Linked DNA regions of Saccharomyces cerevisiae S288C. The protein of the gene in region 2 binds, or shares a complex with, the protein of the main gene of each other region. Each region holds a gene or a part of one and is shown on either strand. Other genes may lie near its edges. The genes, in order: COX1, COX6, COX5A and COX4. A codon is read from its position in the direction of its gene.

Evidence for each region.
Region 1: the proteins of COX6 (region 2) and COX1 are in contact, whole or in part, in a cryo-EM structure (PDB 8DH6), measured with the Saccharomyces cerevisiae proteins. Residues at the interface, in NP_011918.1 of Saccharomyces cerevisiae: Leu66 (codon at 1,953), Phe67 (codon at 1,950), Gln70 (codon at 1,941), Leu73 (codon at 1,932), Asn74 (codon at 1,929), Arg106 (codon at 1,833), Glu109 (codon at 1,824), Ala110 (codon at 1,821), Tyr113 (codon at 1,812); in NP_009305.1 of Saccharomyces cerevisiae: Asp496, Phe497, Val498, Glu499, Ser500, Ile503, Leu506, Asn507.
Region 3: the proteins of COX6 (region 2) and COX5A are in contact, whole or in part, in a cryo-EM structure (PDB 7Z10), measured with the Saccharomyces cerevisiae proteins. Residues at the interface, in NP_011918.1 of Saccharomyces cerevisiae: Gln70 (codon at 1,941), Ala95 (codon at 1,866), Arg96 (codon at 1,863), Asn99 (codon at 1,854), Asp100 (codon at 1,851), Leu101 (codon at 1,848), Pro102 (codon at 1,845), Thr103 (codon at 1,842), Ala104 (codon at 1,839), Ile105 (codon at 1,836), Arg106 (codon at 1,833), Leu135 (codon at 1,746), Gly136 (codon at 1,743), Val137 (codon at 1,740), Pro138 (codon at 1,737), Lys140 (codon at 1,731), Glu142 (codon at 1,725), Leu143 (codon at 1,722), Phe144 (codon at 1,719); in NP_014346.1 of Saccharomyces cerevisiae: Gln35 (codon at 2,805), Gln57 (codon at 2,871), Lys58 (codon at 2,874), Leu59 (codon at 2,877), Pro60 (codon at 2,880), Trp61 (codon at 2,883), Ala62 (codon at 2,886), Leu64 (codon at 2,892), Glu66 (codon at 2,898), Lys69 (codon at 2,907), Gln70 (codon at 2,910), Val72 (codon at 2,916), Trp73 (codon at 2,919), Ser76 (codon at 2,928), Tyr77 (codon at 2,931), Arg83 (codon at 2,949).
Region 4: the proteins of COX6 (region 2) and COX4 are in contact, whole or in part, in a cryo-EM structure (PDB 8DH6), measured with the Saccharomyces cerevisiae proteins. Residues at the interface, in NP_011918.1 of Saccharomyces cerevisiae: Tyr64 (codon at 1,959), Asp65 (codon at 1,956), Phe67 (codon at 1,950), Glu68 (codon at 1,947), Gln70 (codon at 1,941), Arg71 (codon at 1,938), Asn74 (codon at 1,929), Asn75 (codon at 1,926); in NP_011328.1 of Saccharomyces cerevisiae: Lys91 (codon at 3,187), Thr93 (codon at 3,181), Met94 (codon at 3,178), Arg133 (codon at 3,061), Trp135 (codon at 3,055), Glu136 (codon at 3,052), Cys137 (codon at 3,049), Gly138 (codon at 3,046), Val140 (codon at 3,040).

What each region holds. Positions count from the first base shown.
Region 1 is NC_001224.1:11,090-18,553, reverse strand, and holds the start of COX1 (cytochrome c oxidase subunit 1), read right to left. Parts: upstream 4,737-7,464; coding exon 4,568-4,736; coding exon of another isoform or gene 2,232-4,567; intron 2,120-2,231; coding exon 2,084-2,119; coding exon of another isoform or gene 1-2,083. Other genes in the region: intron-encoded reverse transcriptase aI1, read right to left, coding at 2,232-4,736; intron-encoded DNA endonuclease aI3, read right to left, coding at 2,084-2,119, 4,568-4,736; intron-encoded DNA endonuclease aI4, read right to left, coding at 2,084-2,119, 4,568-4,736; AI5_ALPHA (intron-encoded DNA endonuclease aI5 alpha), read right to left, coding at 2,084-2,119, 4,568-4,736; intron-encoded reverse transcriptase aI2, read right to left, coding at 1-2,119, 4,568-4,736. UniProt on the Saccharomyces cerevisiae protein: Component of the cytochrome c oxidase, the last enzyme in the mitochondrial electron transport chain which drives oxidative phosphorylation.
Region 2 is NC_001140.6:206,856-211,852, reverse strand, and holds COX6 (cytochrome c oxidase subunit VI), read right to left. Parts: upstream 2,149-4,997; coding exon 1,702-2,148; downstream 1-1,701. Other genes in the region: CIC1 (Cic1p), read right to left, coding at 1-1,005; YHR050W-A (uncharacterized protein), read right to left, coding at 2,208-2,378; divalent metal ion transporter SMF2, read right to left, coding at 2,550-4,199; FSH1 (putative serine hydrolase), read right to left, coding at 4,660-4,997. UniProt on the Saccharomyces cerevisiae protein: Component of the cytochrome c oxidase, the last enzyme in the mitochondrial electron transport chain which drives oxidative phosphorylation.
Region 3 is NC_001146.8:529,023-533,989, forward strand, and holds COX5A (cytochrome c oxidase subunit Va), read left to right. Parts: upstream 1-2,702; coding exon 2,703-3,164; downstream 3,165-4,967. Other genes in the region: VAC7 (Vac7p), read left to right, coding at 1-561; tyrosine/serine/threonine protein phosphatase MSG5, read left to right, coding at 920-2,389; Golgi transport complex subunit COG5, read left to right, coding at 3,637-4,848. UniProt on the Saccharomyces cerevisiae protein: Component of the cytochrome c oxidase, the last enzyme in the mitochondrial electron transport chain which drives oxidative phosphorylation.
Region 4 is NC_001139.9:146,715-152,029, forward strand, and holds COX4 (cytochrome c oxidase subunit IV), read right to left. Parts: upstream 3,458-5,315; coding exon 2,990-3,457; downstream 1-2,989. Other genes in the region: protein phosphatase 2A regulatory subunit CDC55, read right to left, coding at 1-675; 40S ribosomal protein eS26 RPS26A, read right to left, coding at 1,515-1,874; YGL188C-A (uncharacterized protein), read right to left, coding at 2,110-2,250; TPN1 (Tpn1p), read right to left, coding at 4,323-5,315. UniProt on the Saccharomyces cerevisiae protein: Component of the cytochrome c oxidase, the last enzyme in the mitochondrial electron transport chain which drives oxidative phosphorylation.

The DNA.
Region 1 (7,464 bases), on a different chromosome or scaffold from region 2:
TTTATTTTATGTCTAATTTTAAAATCATCAATACTAAAACTAACTTTTGAATGAGGATCAACTAATACTTTACCGAATTTTAAAATAACTTTCTTAACAGTATTTAATTTAAATTTTCTTGCTAATGTTAAACAACATGAATAAAATAAAATGTATGTAATTCTACCTCTTAATGTGGTAAAATTGGTAGCTAATCTATAATAGTTTATAATACCTCTACCAACAGCTAAGTAATGCATTAAAATGGTTTTCATTTCTTCATGAATTAATCTTCCAACCCCTCTGGGTTTTCCTAAAATACCATGAGAACAATAGCCATGTTTATTTAATTTTATTACAATACTTCTAATAGGGGCATTAACAACTAAACTAGTATGATGTCTAACCCTAATAAAATTATCACCTTTTTTAATCATTCTATAAGGTCTTTTTTCTCAAGGTGTAACTTTTACATCATACCCTAAAAAACTAACTCCTTCTTTAGAATGTTTAATAACGGATTTATCTATATTAATTGACATACCTAAATTTTCTTTTAAGAAGTTATTAATATCGTTTAAAATATTTTTACAATCATTATGAGAACCCATTACACCAATGATAATATCATCAGCATATCTAACAAAATAAGCTCTTTTAAAACTTTTATCAGATCCCATATTTCTTTGGTAATGGTCTCTTAATCTAATCAATTTTAATTTTTCAGATAATAATTTACATCTATAAATTTTAGATGATAAACTATTATAAATTGGATTTCTACCTCTATTAGACATATTTCCAGTATTGAATTCATTCTCAAATTTATTTTCTAAATATTTATCTAATTTATCTAAAAAAATATTACATAAAATAGGACTGACAACACTACCTTGAGGAATTCCTAAAGTTGTATTATGATAATTATTATTTTTATCAACATATCCAGCTCTTAATAATTTATATAATAAGTCTATGAAACCTTTATCTTTGATTCTCTCATTTAATACATTAATTAACATATTATGTGGAATTGTATCAAAGCATTTATTTAAATCTACTTTAATAAATCAATTACAGTATTGCATATAATTTTTACATTGAATAATAGCTGTTAAACAAGATAAGTTAGGTCTAAATCCATGAGAATAATAAGAGAAACTATTATTATAGATAATTTCTAATATTATTCTCATACTTTCTTGTACAATTTTTTCTCTAGGATTTCCAACACTTAAAGGTCTAAATCCTCCAGATGTTTTAGGAATTTCAACTCTTCTAACCGGAGAAAATTTAAACATATTAGTGTTAATATCTTTAGATAATTTATTTAAATATGAAATATTAATCCCATCTAAGGTAATATTATTAGAACCTTTAGATATATTACCTTTCTTACTTTTAATTTTATTATAAGCAATTAATAACATTCTAATATCTGACATTAATTTTAAAATTCTAGTATTAATGGTTTCAAGTTTATTATGATTATTTTCTATTAATTTATTTAACTCGGAAAAATCCGTAGTATTAATCTTTGTTAAATACGCTAAACTGTCTTCCTTCCTTGCATTTAATTTAGATAAAGTACTAAAGTATCTCACTTTATTTAAATTAAATTTGGGTACTATGAAGACTCCGTTATCCCCAGGGTTTCCCCTTTCGGACAATCCCGTATTTCTTAATTTTCCATTTGAACTCGTACAGCCCTCCAAATGTCAACTTTTACTTAAAGCTAATGATTCATTTTTGGTTAACTCGTGTACCTCTTCTTCCAATACATAAGCATGAATCACAATCCCCAAGTGGGAAGGAGTTAATGAGAACCCTAAACATTCTTTACAGGAATTCGTTAACCTAGCCATCGGACAGTTCTTACCTTGCGCTGGCTGTTTTACTCCAGCGCTTTTATGGCATGCTATTGTCCCCGTTGAGTTGGCCCCAACTGGGTAAGCCATATGGTTTACGTATCTAAATACTATGTATGTTACTACTAATAATCAGAACCAAAATGATACGGTAAAGTTTTCATTAATTGAATAAACAGAGATATGTTTATCAATTAACACTTCAATACAGTGATAAATTAAGCGAAACGGCGCACAGAAAATCATTAATACAGCATGACCAACTACTAAAAATGAAATAGCAAATTAACCTATGTTGCCACGTGTTAAAGAGCCTTTCCCAAACCGTACGTGATAGTTTCCCATCATACGGCTTTCCATATTGAGTATCATTAATAATAGATTTTATATACCAGGTCCTATATTTTTAAATTTATTTTTATGTGTTTTAATATGACATTGTTTACATAATGGAATTTGTTTTCTGTTTATGGTAATTATTCTACCTAGAATATAATCTTTAAGTGCTTTTAATATACCTCTATGTAATTGTTTAACATGATGTATTTCTACATCAATAGTTGAATTACAAATACTACAAGGTTTATTAAAATTAGCTTTAGCTGTAGGTAATATATATTTAATTGAATCGATATATTCAAAAGGATCAGTTACTTTAGCTTCTGATATATATATAAATATACCATGATTTTCAATTTTTTTGATATTATCAAAAGTATTTCTTGGAAAATTGGCAATTAATTTATCATTTTCAATAATATTTAAATTATAACCAAATTTTTTAATAGTTTTACTTATTGTTTTTAATCTATATTTACTAGCTAAAGTTAATACACATGAATAATATAATACGTAATAGATTCTTTCTCTTAATCTTTTATAATTAGTAGCTAATTTATAATAATTTAAGATACCTCTACCTAACGCTTTATAATTATTAATAATTGTTCTAGGTTCTTCATATAGTCATCTACCTACTCTTGTAGGCACTCCTATTCTACCATTTTTATTATGCTTACAATATCCATTAGTAGCTAATTTATTGATAATATCTCTAATTGGTGCATTAATAATAGGTCTAGTTGTATTTCTACTTCTAATAAGTTTACCTCTAATTAGTTTAGTAACTGTAGGTATTCTTTTTAAAGGTGTAATTGAAATATTATAACCTAAAAATCTTGCTGGTAGTTCAGTTGCACAAGTAATTAAAGTTTTTTCTTCATTTATAGTTAAACCTAATGAATTTAAAAAATTGTTTAAATCTCTTTTGATTATTTTACAATCATTTTTTGAACCTAATACCCCAATTAAAATATCATCTGCATATCTAACGTATTTTATTCTCTTGAAATTAGGATCATTATAAATAAATAGTGGGCCTTTAGCTCTTTCTTTATGTAATTTTAATCTTGTCGAAAATATTTTAGCTTTTGCAATTATTCTTGATAATTTTTTATATGTAGGATGTTGTTTTTTAACTTTACCTTTATTATATAAATTAATATAATCTTCTAATCAATTATCTACCAATGTTATTACAATATTACATAAGATAGGACTAATTAATGATCCTTGAGGTAAACCTAATATAGGTTTATGATAAGTTCCTTTCTCATCAATATAACCAGCTCTTAATAATTTATATACTAAATCAATAAAACCTTTATCTGAAATATATCTTTTTAATTCTTTAATAATTAAATCATGAGAAATTGTATCAAAACATTTTTTTAAGTCTACTTCAATAAATCAATTACTTCCACCAAATATATTTCTAACTTCTCAAATTGCTGTTTGACAACTTATATTCTTTCTAAAACCATGTGAATGTGTTGATATCTTTTTATCAAAAATTGTATCTAAAATTATTCTTATAACTTCTTGTACAATTTTATCTCTTGGATTACCTACACTTAAAGGTCTTATACCACCTTTAGGTTTAGGAATATTAACTATTCTCATGGGTTTAAATTTGAATTTACCTGTTCCTAATTCATTTGATAATTTATTTAAATATATTATATTTATACCATCTAATGTTTCTAATGTTGTACCTGGAGTTATATTACCAGGTTTACTCTTAATTCTATTATATGCTAATATTAATATATCTACGTTTTTTATAATACTTAATAAATTATTATTTATATTTTCCTCATTTATATTATCTATTACTAATTTCTCAAATTCTAACAAGTCCGAAGTACTTGTATCTTTTGATAACTCAATATTGGTATCCTTCCCTATTTTTAAATTATTATTTACTGAATAGTATCTAACTTGATTTAAAAATCTCATTTTTATTTGAGTATTCGGTACTACTATACCTCTGTCAACTCCAGAGTTTCCTCTTTCAGTTGATCCCTCACTTTTCGTATTTCCTTTTGTGTTATTTAGGTCCTTCATCTTTTTCACACTGCCTGTGCTATCTAAAACAATGAATCATAATCTGATTACCTCAACGTAAAATAATCAAACTTGTTTTACTATATCCAAATGATAAGAGGAAATTGTAATCCTGATAAAGACTTGTAAGAAGTTCGTTAACCTAACCATGTAACACTTAACTCCACCTACACTAATCATAGGTGTTTTATGACATGCTATTGTCCCCGTAAAGTTAGCCCCTACTGAGTTAGTCATATGTTTTAAGTATCTATTGATGATTCATAATACTAATGCTAGACGCATCAACGAAATATACGCACTGAGAGGCGCACCATTAAATAATTGTGAATTACCATGTAAATATTGTGAACCAGGTGCAGCTAATTCTAATCTAATGATTAAAGACATTGCTGTTCCTGCCATACCACTAAAAATAGCTAACATAAAATATAATACTGCAATATCTTTTGCATTTGTTGAATATAATCATCTTTGTACCATTTTTACTTTTTTTTTATATATTAATTTTAATAATATTATTATTATTATATTCATTAAAAAAAAAAATTAATTAAATTTAATTTAATTTAATTTAAATAATTATTGTTATATCTTAAAGGATAATAATATATTATTCTATTTATAAATATAACAATAGTTGAATTTATAATATTAATTATTAATGAATACTATATAATATTTTAGTTATAACTTTAAACAATTCTTTTATATCTTTATAAATAAATATTATTATATTATAAAGTAATAGTATAATTAATTTTTATATATATATTATTTATATAAATGTATCATAATCTATAATATAATATATATATATATATTAAAATCATTTAAATTATATAACATATATATATATTTAATGATATTAATACTCTCTTTCATAATCTATATTATTAATATTATTTATATAAAATATTAATAATATTATTATTATATCTATTACTTATATCAATACTTATTATTTAATATTATATATTACTTTTTACTCATTACAAAATACCAACTAAACCGAACTAATATAAATATATTATTTAATATATTGATTTTTTTATTATTTATTACTTAATAATAAAATAAATTATATAAAAATATTATTATCTATATATTATATATATATTTATATATATATATATTTTTTATATTATATTATATTATATATATATTATTTACATTCTTTATTATATTTATATATATTATTATTCTTTATTATAAATAAGAAATTATTTAATTTATATTTTTATGATAATATTTAAAGATTTATTAATTAAATTATTCATAATATATTAAATAATATTAATCTTATATATATAAATAATTAATATTGATTATTATTATTATTATTATATATATAAATAAATATTGATAAAAATAATATTTAATATAGAGTATTATATTTTATATAATTAATATATATATATATATATATTGTTATATATATTAAAAAAGTAATGTAGTTATATTTTTAGTATTAAATATATAAGTCCCGGTTTCTTACGAAACCGGGACCTCGGAGACGTAATAGGGGGAGGGGGTGGGTGATAAGAACCAAACTATTCAATAAATATAGAGCACACATTAGTTAAATGTATTAATATAATCAATAAATATATTATAATAATATAATATATTATATAATATAAATAAAGGTATTAACGAAATAATAAATTGTATAATATAAATTATAAATAAATAATTAAAATAAATTTAATAAAATAATAAATAAAAACAAGAAGATATCCGGGTCCCATGATAAATTATTATTGAAAATAATAATTGGGACCCCACCACTATAATAAAATATTAATGAATATAATTATAATATATATAAAAATATATATAATAATATTTATATATAATATATATATATATATATAGAAATATAAATTATTATATAAAAATATAATTCTCCTCCGGCGTCCGCCCCGCGGGGCGGGCCGGACTATTTATTATTATATTTTAATAATAAATAAATAAAAATAATAATAATAGTTCCGGGGCCCGGCCACGGGAGCCGGAACCCCGGAAGGAGAAATATAAAAGTATAAATTATATAAAAAGCATATTAATTAATTAATTCTTATAAGAATTACAATTAATTGATATTATATGCCAAATACCAATTAATTAATTAATTAAATTGAAATTAATATATATATAATTATATAAATAATAATATAATAAAAAATAAAATACTTATTATTATTATAAAAATAAGTTATAATATAAAAATATTAATTATTTATTTATTTATTTATTTTATAAAAAAAAATAAATATATATTTATAATATCTTAATATAATTATAATTATTAAAATATTTATATATATTTATATATTTATATTATAATGAATATAAAAACTTTTTATTAATTAGTAAGAAATGAATATTTATATTATAATATAAATATGTATTTATTAATATTAGAACATATCAATAATTATTATTATAATTATTATTAGTCCAAATAAAAATAAAAATAAAATAAGATTTATATAATAATCATAACCTCATATAGAGTGAATACTTTATATATCATATAATAAGATATAATATAATATGATATGATATTATATGATAGGATAATATAGGATAGGTTTTCATTATAATAAATAATATATATATTATTAATATTTAATATATTACAAATAATAATAAAATTTATTAATATGAATAATATTTAATAATATTAATATTTATTATAAATAATATTTAATAATATTAATATTTATTATTTTTTATTTTATTTATTTCTCCTTTCGGGGTTCCGGCTCCCGTGGCCGGGCCCCGGAACTATTAATAATAAATAATATAATAAGTTTATAAATAATAAATATATAGTCTAAACCTCTTTTTTATTTTAATAATAATATTTCATAAATAATTATAATATAAATAATAATTATATTTTAATTTAAAGAAGATATAATATAAAAAGTATTTTAAATAATATATAATTTAAATAATATATATTAATTAATTATATATTATATATATTTTTTTTATATAATTTATATAAGAATAAAAATAATATATATATATATATATATATATTTATAAAAATAATAATTTTAATAATAATAATAATAATATTATTAAAATAAATATATATATATTAATTATAATATTTTAATATAAAATAAATATTATTATAATAATATATTAATCATTTAAATTAAATATTAATATAATATATTAAATGTTTAATAAT
Region 2 (4,997 bases):
TTCCATCAAACCCTTGTTGAAGGTAGACAAATGAACTTGTACACCATCAATGGTGACCATGTCATCTTCGTGGGTTTCTTCGATTTTGTCCTTTTTAGCTTCAAGTTCATCAAGAACGTCCTGGTTATAGTATAATGGCAATACGGGCGACCTATTGGTCTTGATAAAAATGGATCTGATTTGGTATGCTTTGATTAACTGTTCAGAAATTAATTCAACGTTATCTACAAACTCTTCTGGCCTTAACCATTCTAAATTACCCAAATGGACATTCAACGTGGTACCTCTTGGAAGTTTAACGGGCAACTGATTCATGTAAACCTTTTTGATATTGTTCGTCAAAGTGGTCAAGGAAAATTCCTTATTTGCATGTGTTCTAATTGATATAGGAGTAGTTTCTACTTTGTTGTAGGCTTTGCCTCCCATAAGTTTTGGCAAAGATGTAACTATACTGTCGTCAGCCAAAATCAAAGAAAACTGAGATATAAAAGCGTTTCTAGCCTCATATGCCTTGTAAACGGTCTTTAAGTCTTTCCCGCAAATGATTTCATCAACCTTGATTCCTTCTGAATCTAATTGATCAAATAAATCATCTTCTGAAACTTTCTTAATATCAGAATCCTTCAAAATTAATAAAACTTTGAAATCCTTAACCGCTGTTGCACTGGCTTCTTTCCAAGGCTTGTAAAACGAATGTTTGACATTTAGTAATTTCAATTTGAATGATTTGGAAGTACCGGTGAATGATTTATTATTTACTACGATTAATTGCAGATCTTTCTTCAATTCTTCTTCATCATCTTCCAATAGGTTTTTCTTACCGTTATTTCCTTCTTCATTATTTTCATCTTGTGGCTTGGAAGTGAATTTTATAAGCTCGTTGACAGCTTTAATAACTCTTTCCCTAGGAATGGCTGTGGAAGATTTCTTTTCAATAACCTTCTTCTTTTCTTTGCTTGGTGTACTTACAGGCGTAGATTTCTTTGAGTTACTCTTTTTAGCCATTTTATACTTTATAGTCTGGAACGTAGGTTTATCTGCCTGCTGTCTAATATTTCTTATAAAACAGACACTATTCTTTATGCAGTATACAAACGCTTTTTGTTACTTTTCAAAATTTGCGATGAGCTCCAGTGGAAAAATTTTTTTCAGGAAATTGTCTTTAATTTTTTTAGTATGAAGTGACATCAACTTCACATTTATTGACGCAACGGTGAAGCACAGAATAGAATAGTAATTCTTTAATGGTATATTCTAGGTTTTTGTTTTTTATATAGTTATTTATTGTTTTATTATTTTTCCCATTCTTCTTTCCTGAAATAGAACACAAAAAAGCTACTAACAAAGGATATTAAAGGTAATCTGTGACCAGCCCTCATTACCAAAAATAAAGTTTGTTCAAGTAATAGAGTAGAGAAAACAAAGTGGAAATCATAATGGTTAAATTTAAATATTTTTCTTTTACTTTTCTTATTTCACCTCTTGTGATCTTATCGTTGATTTTGATATATTAGTTTCTGAGTGGATGAATATCCATAAAGGGTAAAACAAATAATAAGGTAAAAGGGAAGAAAAAAAAAAAATAAAAACTAAAATCGTTTTACAAAATAAATACGAATCTTATTTCAAATTGAGGAATTTTCCACAAATAAAAAAAGGACAACAAATTACAGACGTTGTGTGGTAGCTTTTTCCTTATTATTAAGAAGAGCTTGGAAATAGCTCTTCCTTTAAGGGAACGCCCAATTCTTGTCTGACATCCTTCAATTCATCCAAGTAGGCCTTGTATTGGTCTTCATTCTCCACCTTGTATTTCAAAGCCTCAAATACTCTAATTGCGGTAGGTAAGTCATTGACTCTTCTGGCAGCCCTCAAAGCTTTTTCAATAACAGCAGGAGCAGGAACTAAATCATAGGAAAAACAGTTGTTGAGCACTCTTTGCACTTCAAACAAATCATAGGCTTCATCAAACTCCTTTTCGTATCTTGCGGTGAATTCCTCAAAGGTTTCTTCATCATGTGCGTCAGAATACTTCCTACTTTGAATAAACGTATTTTTAGTCAATCTAGTTGCATGATAAGCACCAGGTCTGGCTCTCAATAAAGTTCTATTTATAACTGGATTTCTGAATATGGCCCTTGATAACATTGTTGTATATTTATTAGTTTATGTGTCAAATACAATTGTTCGGCTGTTTATCTCCGCTACTAAGTCTCAGAAGTGATACAATTTTTCAAATTGTAATAATAAATAAGTGTGCTAAAATGTGGATGAAATGTAAAGAAATGAGGTAACCTTGAGATCTGGCACCTTGATAAGCAAGAGCAATTGTTGATCTTTATTAATGCTTTGACCGGACCAATTAGGTCCCTTTTCATAGGGAGATTCAAAGAAAGCTGTAAGCGGCGGAAATAACGCGCGGGGCCCTGATTGGCTCGTATGGAGCGATACGGCCATCAGTATAGCCTAACACCAACTTTTTGATTGGAATTTTCTGTTATTATTCTTGGATAAAATGTATACTTATACTAGTCTAAAGAATTGTTATATTAGAGGTGTACTTCTTTGCCCGTAGTAAAGCCCAGTAACATATAAAAGTTCAGTCCGGAGATAATCAACCATACTATGATTGCGAGCACGGTGACGATCATTCCATTGCTCATGTCTTTGTATTCTGGAGCAGGAGAAACTAAGCTGCGCTCCTGTGAGCTGCTGCCTATGCCCATTTCTTCGAGCTCAATGGTCTCATCATCTTCGGTTCGGTCGGCCACGGGTTTTTTGTCTGTAGTTCTTGAAAGTTCTTTGGTACGGTTAAGCTGTACACGCATAATCTTCTTGCTTGAAGTGAAGTAAAGTAAAGGTGCAGAAACAAAAGGCAGCAAGAGAGAAAGTACCACTTGGGAAGCATTTAGTGCACCAGAGAGGCCGCTACGTCCAGCTACAAGCACTAAAATCAAACAAGGCGTGATGGCTACCGCTCTTGTGGCGGATCTTCTCAATGCCGGAGAAACAGTCCAATTTAAGAACCCTTCACTAACCATTTGTCCACTCAACGTACACACGATACCGGCACTCTGTCCTGAAAACAACAATGCCAGCACGAATACCGTTCCCGCTCCCTTGGAAAGAGTACTACAGAGTAAGTTGTAAATAGAAAATAAGTCAGCTTCCTCAGCATTTTGAGTGGACCCGTATAGTGTAGCGCCAGACACGATAAGAATGGCACAATTGACAAATAATGCCACCGTGAACAGCGAGATCAGTAATTCCGTTATAGTAAAGTGCAGAGTTTCACTGATGGCCTCATAGGATGGCCTGTAATTATCGTGATTGTTATCCATATCATTCGCGTCTGGCAAGTAATGTCCGTTTTTGATATCATACTCTCTTAATCTTGGTTGAACCACACCTGACCCCAAATATAATGAATGAGGCATTACCGTGGCGCCCAGAATTGCCAGACTTAAGTATAACCCATCACCTTCAAAAACGGCTTTACTGGGTAAGAACCCAGAAAATATTTCTTTGGCAGGTCCCAGTTTGGCATAAAACAGTTCAACAGTAAAGCAAACTACGGTAAGAACCACCAATAAAGAAACAAAAGCTTCAAATATTCTGATACCCTTCATGGAACCGTTAGGTTTGTAAGCTAGCAGAACAATTAAAACGTCTACCACAGTAAGTATCACACCTAGGGCGAGAGGTATATGGAAAAGGATATTCAAAGAAATAGCGGTTCCTACCACTTCTGCCAGATCTGTGGCAATAATTGCCATCTCCGCCAGAATATAAAGAGTAATGTTAAGTCCAAAGGGCAAATGTTTCTTACAATTTTGTGCCAGATCTAGGCCAGTGACAGCACCCAATCTGGCGCAGAGGTACTGCCAAAAAGCAGCCATGAAATTAGAAACTAAGACAGAAAATAAAAGCTTGTACCGATGAGCAGAACCCGCTGCTACAGCTGTACTATAGTTACCAGGATCCATGTACGATACAGATACCATCAAACCAGGACCGATGAACCTAGCATATTTTCTCAATGTTCCGATCATGCTCTGGGATGTTGAGTTTGGCTGCAAAGTTGTTCTTCGACGCGACTCATGAGTGGTATTCACGTCGGCATACGCATCGTTGACACTATCATTATTTGTTTGGGATTCATCGCTCCATTGAATAGGTTCATATTCTTGGGACGTCATCAAACATAAACGCTATACGGAAAATTAGTGGTTAAATGGCAATAGAGATGTGCTAATATTAGTATCAAAACAAATAGTTGTTGAAGAGGGTTTTCTAAACGGTTAAACGCGTTTGATGGTTAAATGACTAGAAGCAAAAGGAGACTGATTCTGAAATTTAATATGATTTCTTTTTTTTCTGCTGTTTCTCTTCTGCATTATTTTCTTCCTTCGAGAAAGAGTATAAGTATGTTTAAAAAGGTCTTCGTAAGCCACGCTAAAGCACCCCGGGTGGATTTTTCGCGCCGGGCGGGGTTAGCAGCACGCAGGATGGAAGAGAAGAGAAAGGATGCTACAAACTTGTGGTTCATTCTATACAAAGTACTTATATGTATATATACATACTCGATCAGCATTTCACTCCACACACCCTGCGTGTGATAGTAAAAAGCTAGAAAGCAGGTAAGCAACAACCTACGATTTATTCAGAAGCTTCTTGTAAGGAAGAGGTTATTTGTTCAACAATTGGTCTGATAATGTCCTTCTTGTTTGGAACCATATGTCCACCAGGGTGTTCGTAAGCCAACACCTTTTCCTTATTACCATTTTGCGCCTTCAAATAAATATCGTACAGGTACTTGGATCTGACGGATGGGACGGCTTGGTCAGAAGCACCATAGATGAAGATCATCTTGGTCTTCATGTCTGGTTTTACCGCAAATGAGTCTCTGAATTTTTCGGTTATTCTCAATTCTCCAGGATGTTCTGGGTCTGGCTCGGTGAAGGAATAGCCGGAAATGACTACACTTACCTTGAATT
Region 3 (4,967 bases), on a different chromosome or scaffold from region 2:
AGTATAAGCGTTTCCCAAGTCGATTTGGACATTTTTGCAAAAAGTTCTTACCTGAAGTGCGATTCTAATGGTGACTGTACAGTAATGGAACAGGAACGGAAAATTTTACAAATAACGACAAATCTTTCGTTAGTTGAAGAGAGTGCTAATAATGATATTAGTGGTGGGAACATAGAGACGGTATTACTAGGAACCGCTAAAAAACTAGAGACACCATTAAAGTTCCAGGGCGGCGCATTTAATAGGAACTACGATGTGTCAGTCTCGAGTGTCAAGCTTTTAAGTCCTGGGTCTCGTGAAGCCAAGCACGAAAACGACGATGATGACGATGATGATGGCGACGATGGTGACGATGAAAACAATACTAATGAAAGACAATACAAAAGCAAACCAAATGCTAGAGATGACAAAGAAGATGATACTAAAAAATGGAAGCTACTAATCAAGCATGATTACGAATTGATAGTCCGTGGAAGCATGAAGTATGAGGTGCCCTTTTTCAATACGCAAAAATCTACGGCTATTCAAAAGGATTCCATGGTCCATCCTGGTAAGAAGTGAGTGTTAAGAATGTAGCTTTTTCGTCAAAGCTGGGTATTTTTCTTTTTATAGCGCAGGAGCGGAAGGCAATTTCCAAAACAGGAATGTACTTTCCAAAAAAGGAAAATGTAGTTTGTTTTTTGATGTTTTTTTCTCTTTGACTATTTCAAATTTAGAAGTGAAAAAATACAAAAATGTTACATAGGATTCGATACAGTGTAATATATCATTATTATTACTTTTAAATAAAGCGTTTAGTAAACAAGAGTGAGGGTTATGCAACTCGTTTAGTAAACATTCTTTTTTTTTTCTTCATTTAAGTATAAGACAACAATAGTAGCGGAAGCGATAGTAATACATTTGGTAGCGATAAGTGCACATGCAATTTCACTCAGATAAGCAGCATTTGGACAGTAAAACCGACATCGATTTCAAGCCAAACTCACCGCGTTCCTTACAAAATAGGAATACCAAAAATTTATCTTTAGATATAGCAGCACTCCATCCATTAATGGAATTCTCATCGCCAAGCCAAGATGTGCCAGGTTCAGTAAAATTCCCATCGCCGACACCTTTGAATCTATTTATGAAGCCCAAACCTATTGTGTTGGAGAAATGTCCACCAAAAGTAAGTCCAAGGCCAACGCCACCATCGCTGTCGATGAGGCGAAGCGAGGCCTCTATATACACACTACCAACATCTTTGAAGAACCGAACTGTTTCTCCAAGCGTGTATACAAAATCATCCACAGTATCGTCTATCAGTAAGCTGTCATCATCATCACCGTTATCGTCATTTTCAGAAAAACCTCATCTGAATAGAGTCCATTCATTATCCGTGAAAACTAAAGACTTGAAGTTGAAGGGAATTAGAGGACGTTCTCAAACGATCTCAGGGTTAGAGACATCCACGCCAATTTCTAGTACTCGTGAAGGTACTTTAGATAGTACGGATGTCAACAGATTTTCTAACCAAAAGAATATGCAAACAACATTGATTTTCCCGGAGGAGGACTCGGATCTGAATATTGATATGGTGCATGCAGAGATTTATCAACGAACGGTTTATTTAGATGGACCATTGCTGGTACTGCCGCCTAATTTGTATCTATATTCAGAACCCAAACTAGAAGATATATTATCGTTTGATTTAGTCATTAATGTTGCCAAAGAAATACCGAACCTGGAGTTTTTAATACCGCCGGAAATGGCACATAAAATAAAATATTACCATATTGAATGGACACACACATCCAAGATCGTCAAGGACTTATCCCGATTGACACGCATTATACATACCGCTCATTCGCAAGGCAAGAAAATACTCGTACACTGTCAGTGTGGAGTATCAAGATCGGCGTCATTGATTGTGGCGTATATCATGCGATATTATGGCTTGAGTTTAAATGATGCATACAATAAGCTGAAAGGTGTTGCTAAGGATATAAGTCCAAACATGGGTCTCATCTTCCAACTTATGGAATGGGGAACCATGTTGTCCAAGAACTCACCGGGCGAAGAAGGAGAGACTGTTCACATGCCTGAGGAAGATGACATCGGAAACAACGAAGTTTCCTCGACTACGAAGTCCTACTCTTCTGCGTCCTTTAGAAGTTTTCCCATGGTAACGAATCTATCATCGTCGCCGAATGACAGTTCTGTCAATTCTTCGGAAGTAACGCCAAGAACTCCTGCTACGTTGACTGGAGCAAGGACCGCACTGGCCACAGAACGCGGGGAAGATGATGAGCACTGTAAAAGTTTGTCTCAACCCGCAGATTCACTGGAAGCTTCTGTGGACAACGAATCAATATCTACTGCCCCGGAACAGATGATGTTTCTTCCTTAAGGGACAGCATCTCCCAAAAGAATCTTTATGACTATCAGATCTGCAGGCAGACCGCCTCCCTACGCTTCTAAATAGAATGTACTTAGCACTTCTGCCTACATAGTAATTATTCATCATTGTAAGTGTCACATTGCAAAAATCGTCCAATAGACGTTTTCCTCGTTTGTGATTGGCCCTACGTTTTGCGCCGATACAAGCGGCGGCGAAAAGTTAAAAAGAACAATCAATTAAATAAGAACCATCAGTCCTCGTATTTTGTCTTCTGTTTGCAAGCAATGCACCAAACACAAGATCAACTAAGAACGCATCTACAATGTTACGTAACACTTTTACTAGAGCTGGTGGACTATCACGTATTACATCCGTAAGATTCGCTCAAACACATGCTCTTTCCAACGCTGCTGTAATGGATCTGCAATCCAGATGGGAGAACATGCCCTCCACTGAGCAGCAGGATATTGTCAGTAAGTTGAGTGAACGTCAAAAATTACCATGGGCACAGCTTACTGAGCCTGAAAAGCAAGCTGTGTGGTACATTTCTTACGGAGAATGGGGCCCAAGAAGACCTGTATTGAATAAGGGTGATTCCAGTTTTATTGCCAAAGGTGTTGCTGCAGGCCTACTATTTTCAGTGGGACTTTTTGCTGTCGTCAGGATGGCGGGTGGCCAAGACGCAAAGACCATGAATAAGGAGTGGCAGCTAAAGAGTGACGAATATTTGAAGTCGAAGAATGCTAATCCTTGGGGTGGTTATTCTCAGGTCCAATCTAAATGAACAGGCCAGAAATTTTGAAAGGAAATCAATAGGGGTTAACGATTGTCATGGTTTTTTCAGCTAGTCTGTGACCTGTACGAAAGTGAATATCTTATTACATTATAAGTGTATCCATGGGCATCCGCCCAATACAATGCCAACATATCAAACATAAAATTGGCTGATTGCCACTCTCACATTTTTTCTTTATTTATTTACTCAAATTTTGTAATTTTTTGTTAGACATATAATTTTATATCATTATTCTTATTATTCTTATATTTAAGGGAACCCCCCTGGAATGAAATAAGCTAATATAGTATGAGGGAATCCTGTATAAATGGGTTTACCTTGTTATTCTATGCCTCCCTTTCAAAGACGTATTTCTTAAAAACTTCTCCATTTGGTTGAATACTATGAAAAAAAAAAAATCAACTAGAATAGATATGGAAGATAAAAATGTGTAACAAAAAAGAAGAAAAGAGCTGGAGGTATGACAATAGCGCCAATGGCAAACGATTTAGAAGATTTTGAGTCTCTGCTGGAGCCTGATTTTGATGCTAAACAATTTGGTAATGACTTACTGAAGGCTACTAATAACAATGACACAACCATTTTAGACCTTAACACGCCTCTTAAAAAGCTAAACTATGATCTACATGAGATTGACTCTAGAATAGACCAATTGATGAATAGCAACCCATTGGAGATAATAGAGTTAATTTACAAAAATGAACACGTCAATTCAACCATAGTTGGTGAGTTGAAACCAAGTTTGGGATATATGAATATGTCGTACGATAGACTAAAGAATCAAGTTCTAGATCCTTATGAAAGAGCGAGGAAAGTCCAACTAGCGTTGAGTAAAGTTTACCAAACATCTTTTCTCTTGCGCGGAGCATTGCTTTATATTCATTTATCAAACAAATTAAACGCACTGTCTAAAACAGCCCAACTAAGCACATCAACAGCTATTAATTTAGCCTCCTTACACTACCAACTTGAAATTACTTTGGAAGAAAATAAAAATCTAAAATCCTTGCGGAAAATTAAACAATTAGATCAGGACATTGTTTCCCCCAACAAAAGAGAGTTAATAACATTTTTGTCTTTACAAATGTGTAAAGAGTGCTTGAACTCTATTAAAATCAAATCGAACAAAGAAATAATATCTCAGCTGGCCTACTCCTTATATCTACTTTCATCTCAAGAATTCGAGTCTGCAATAAACAAGATTGTACTATCTAATGTTACAATGAGCTCACAAATCCTATCAAAAATTTTAAATTCTATCAGGATGTTTCCTGATGCGTTCAATGAAGTTGTTGAAAAAGGTTATAACATCTACATTTTAGAAACACTACTACAGAACATCAAAACGGATAATGTTACGAATTCCTCGAGATCTATTGCTGCTAATAAATCACGCCTTGGCAATCTTTTATCAGAATATACCTCAATGAAGAGTAAAGCAGGTTCTGGTACACCGAGAGATCTGTTTTGGAGCAAAGTTTCATCTGCCTTCAAAAAGGACTTTGATATATCTGTTAATAGAGGAGGCCCTGTGGGCAAGTCGCTGTTAAAAAATAAAGATTTTATTATAAACACTATGAAGCAAAGTATGAAAAAATCTTCTGATAATAGTGATTACCAAAGCTACTTGGATGTAATGCTAAACTCAGTATCTATTTCTCTAAATAAGTGAGACAGTTTACATAAAATTAAGAATGTTGATGAAATAGGATGAATCTAAAGCAATTTTCAATAGCATGTGCATATGTTTAATAAAAATTACATGAAATGTAATATTTGTTTATATTATTA
Region 4 (5,315 bases), on a different chromosome or scaffold from region 2:
CTTGATATCTACGATGTTGAAGCTCTGATCTGGTATGTCCAGATTCCATAAATTGATTCTCAAGTCGTCAGCACTTAAAAATGTTTCCTGATCAGAATTCAACGATATCGAATTAATGTGATAGGTATGTGCATTACTATATATACGCTTTGGGGTGGCAGCAATGATTTTGTCATGCTGTGATAATTGAGGCAGTTTCAGCGATTGTAAAGATAATACAGCCCTCACGGAGCCTCCTCTACTGTTATGGTTATCGGGCTTGCCTTTTTTCGCAAACGTAACCCCTTCTGTTAAGTTGTTCTGGCTTACCAATTTTATATTTTTCTCATAAACTTTCCAAAGTTTTATAGTTTTATCATTTGTGCTCAAAAGAAAGTGTGATCTTTGAGTTGGTCGTAACCATTTGATTTCATTTATCTTCTCTTCAATTTCTAAGGATTTTAAATAATCAAATTCTGCGTCATGACTTTGAAACTCTGTTAAAAACTTATATTCGCAATGTCTACTATTACTTCTTTCAAAAAGTACCACACGGCCACCTTTATCACCAGTGGCCAGATAATTTCCAGTATAGTCAAATTCTACAGCTGTAATTAGATCCGCCTCTGTCACCACAATATCTGCTTTATCACCAAAACATTGGCTGAATTTAAAATCAAAATTGTTTTGTGCCATTGTGCGCTATATTATATTTCTTTATGCGTAAGATCTCTCCAGTTTGACCTCGATATGTTGGCTAGATTTTATGAGGTTTACAGTTTATAGAAACACTAGTTTTCCCTTTCTTAATATGTTGGTGGAGTGGGGGTAATCGTATTAAGCTGCCTTATTCACCCTCTGATAGGAATAAAAATCGAAACAGGACGAAAAAAGGGTGAACTAAAATATAGAAGAGAGCCTAATTGACGTAATCGAATTCTTCTAGAATGCGTTTGTATATTCAATTTTCAATTCTTCCAGTCTCTTCGTGGAAAGTTCTCTAACGTAATAGTCTTGTCTTGTGCAAACTCCCTTTATCTTTGACGGGAAATGTTAGGCAAAATTGGATGGAAAAGAGAAAAAAGGAAGGAAAAAAACAAAAAAAATCTACTTAGTTAAGGATCTATTGACGTGCGCGGGGGGAGTATATGCCAATTGTCTCAAAAAAAAAACGTTTATGCCGTGCCGGAATAGAAATAGTTACTGGTCGTTTTCCTATCTGATATAAATCTGAGTAAAACGATTATTGTCTAACCCAATGCAATATATACAGATAGCATTCCGCTCATAGTTAATAATTAACTTCAGACAGTTTTTTTCAATATCTCATTAAAGGGAAGAAAGGGAGGCGAAAAAAAAATCAAAAAAATTATACTTCGTATCAAATTATATTCGTGGAAGGTGACGATAGTAATATTTGATGTTGAACATACTTGAAACATTAACATATTTAATAGAAAACTATTGTAATGGTTATTTTTTATTGATTAGAAATAGTAGAAAAATTTACTTATGTTTCACCTATATTAATCAAGTTATAAAGCCTTCTTGGCGGCATCAGCAGGGGAAACCTTGTTTTCTCTGTTGAATCTTGGTCTTTGAGGTGGAGCTCTGTTCTTTCTGTCTTCTCTGGATCTGACTCTGACAATTCTGGCGTGAATAGCACAAGAAACACAGTAGTGTAACTTGTTGTAAGTCTTTGGCAAAGCGTATTCAGGGTAGACAGAAGCTTCGGACAAATCTCTGACGGCAGCGGCTTCAACAATGTTTCTGATAGCCATTCTCTTGATAGCCTTATCCTTTGGAATAGACTTGGAACAGTTGACACATCTGACTGGTTTGACGTGACCTCTACCTTTCTTGTTTCTACCGTTGGAAGCTCTCTTCTTTGGCATTTTGAATGATCTAATTAAATATTCATCACGAGTATTGCAGGTTTGCAAAGAGTTAAAATAATTAGTTAGTAACTTCTCAATTTTTTTAAAATGATCGTGGCAAAAAGGGAAGGAGATATTTACGTAACATTTGAAATTTTCTCGGTACAATATTCTTCAATAATAAGTACATTGCATACGATGGGCGACTTCCTTCTTTTTCTTTAGTTAGTGTGAACTCATGATTGGCACACTTCTAGTGATTAACTGGTTTCCTTTCAGAAAACAAGTTACATTTGCCATGTTTTAATAATATCTTGTCACTATTACTTTCTCCCAATTCAAAGATCTCATCGTTCTTCCCTTCTCTACTTTCACACTTTTGTGTCGTTAACATACTACTTAAGACTATGGTTCTTTTATCTGTAATAGCGAACAAATTAAATCATTTACTATAACGAACATTAAATCTAGTAGGTATTTCAAATACCAAGTAATCCCTCAACACTCAATGAGAACGAAGCGGTGTAAGCTGACACTTCGAGTTCCGCCTATGTTACTGGATATGAGCCCTCCCCCCACGAAGGTTTTTTCCTTCCAGAGCCGAGAACATCTCCCAAGGAGAACGAAGCAATACCGGTAAGCTGCTTACCGTCGGGGCAGGGAAGTTCAATTCAACTCCCTGTGCCGAGAATTTACTTTTTTCGAAAAATCGACGTCTTTAAAAAAAGAAATCAGTATGTATGGGTGGGTGTATGGATGCTGTAAGCACAGTCTAGAATCTTTTGGAAGTAACTTCGCAACAACCTCTAGCTAGCCATCTCTGACAGAGATAGAAATAGTAATCAGTTATGACATGAATAGTACTAATATTAATAAGAATTTTTAAATAAAAATATATCTCGACCTTTTCTCGATCTTTTTGGTTATGTATTTTTTGGCTCTTCATTATAGATAGAGCAAAGCGTTCGCCTTAACCTTCCTGCAAAGAACTTTCTTGTGGAACTTTGTTAACATGACGTGTGTAAAAGCTCAGACCTGGTAAGAATATTCGCTAGGTTTCCAAAAAAAAAAATATAAATAAAGAAGAAGGTAAAAAGTAAAAGAGAAACAGAAGGGCAACTTGAATGATAAGATTAGTGATGGTGGTCATCATTTGGAACACCAACAGGGTTTAGTTTGTAAACAGAACCACATTCCCAGCATCTGGCGACTTCGTTAACAGTTGGTTTTAACCACATAATAGTATGTGAACCAGCGGGAGAACCCGTACAACCGACATAACGATAATCATCATAAGATTCAATGATGATCGGATCTTTCATGGTACCCTTCCTGGACGAATCTAATGGTTTGGTGTCGAAAACATCGATACCCTCTAATTTACCCAATAATTCTAACCTAGCTAAACCAGTTTCTTGATCTAGGTCTGTTGGAACGGTACCCTCTTTAGCACCAGGACCAATCAAAGTTTCTGGACCATTAACTTCTGCTAAGTTTTGGGCAGTTTTCACCACGGGTTTTTGCTGAAGCAGATATCTAGAGCTACACAAAGTTCTTGTGGCTGGCTTGAAAAATCTTATAGATTGACGTAGTGAAAGCATTGTGCTTGTTATCTATTTGTATGGCAACATCAAAATCGAAATGGGTGAGTATTGTTAGTATACTGTTTCTTCAGGGAGAAGAATACGTTGACTAAAGGAAAGTGACAGGGAATATTTCGCATCGAATTCTTCATTATATGATGGACAATTTGGACAATTATGCAATTATCGTCTCAAGCCAAATAGAAAAGCAGGGAACGAGTTAAACTTGCAAATAAATTTTTTCTTAAAGTCAAATCCAGATTTGTTTTCTCTTAGTTCTTTTCCGTTTCGTTCGATCTGTTAAATATCTTCTTTCCTGGTAGTTCTTCTCCTACATCTCATGTATTTTTCAATAAGAGGATTATAACATACATTTCAAAATAATCTTATTTCCTGTTTATGCTAATTTTTACGCAATTAGCGTGCCTAAGTACAAAAAAATGTTTTGTAAAAAGTATGAAAAAAATTCTAATCTTCGTATATCTTTCTTTCCTGTGTTTATACTTGGAAGAAGCGAAGTATTTTATCCTTGAGTGTGTCTTATTTTCTCTTCCCTTTATTTGCTACTAACCAAGATGGGAGATATCGCTTTTTCGAAGGACGCCTTTGGAATCCGCTGATCTTATTGGTGGACAGTCAGCTGACAGAAAACTTAGATCGTGACAGCAAATTAAACGATTTGTGCTACTGTTCAAAGTGTCAGTATATCACTCGATGATTTCAATTGTCCACCAGGCTTAGATTTTCATGTGAAAAGATAATGTGTACAAAAAAATATCCTCCCTGAGCGTAATTTAACATACCATGAATCTACCTGCCAATATTATCTAAACTAAAGTTTGCCGCTGCACCGTAGTTTTAATATATACTTATGTCATTTCAATTAACGACCAAATTTACGTAGCTCTAAGTATCTACAAGGAGGGTATACAACACCTGAGAACGCCATACTTAACCACATTGCGACATCACCACCATATTCACCAAATTTGGCAGCAATTGGGCCAATCCAATAGGCTTGCGCCATACCAACTACCACACCAGCAACTCCTACAATAAACGCAAATGTTGCTGCATAACCGTGCGTTAAAACCTCATAATCTTCCCATTTGTCCCAATTGTAACGATGTTTAGTCACCTTATGTTTTCTTTTTAACAAATGGATATTAGTAACTGCATCTTTCTCCACTTCTTTTGAAGATCCAACAAGTTCCGGTCCATTTATTTCTCCTGTAACTGTAGGAAACTCTTTGGTGTACAAATGTAAGAAAAACCTTCTGAATACTAAATTCTCTTCGAATAATAAGATAAAGTACATGCTAATCCAGTAGCCTATCATTGGTAGGAAATTTCCCAAAATAGTACTAAAATGATTACGACCTATTAATGCGCATACCAAACAAATTATAGTACAAACAATAGACCAGAACCAGCGAGGGATTTTTGCACAAAACACACTAGAAAGTTGGATGGAGAATGCTGCCGAATACGTATTGATGATGTTGTTGGATACCAAACTGAATACCAGTACTACCACGCAGAACTTTCCGAAGCCGTTCCAACGCTGAAAACCTGCCCAAAGTAGACCACCCATTCCATGGGAATCGTACTCGACTGACCAAGGCTTATACGACATGGCAACAGAAGCTAGTAAGAGACCTAAGATTCCGACGAAACAGGTAGGCAAAAATGTTCCAAAAAACGTTAGGCAAAAAATTTGAATATATGGTGTATCTTCTGGGAACAATATATAATAGTCTGCTGTAATAGACCCCCAAGTAGCCGTAATACTATAGCATAATGAAAAAAAACTCATCCAGTTGCCCTTTCGGGTGGAAGAGTCCAAATTTCCCTTTGAAACGTATGCATTGACGAA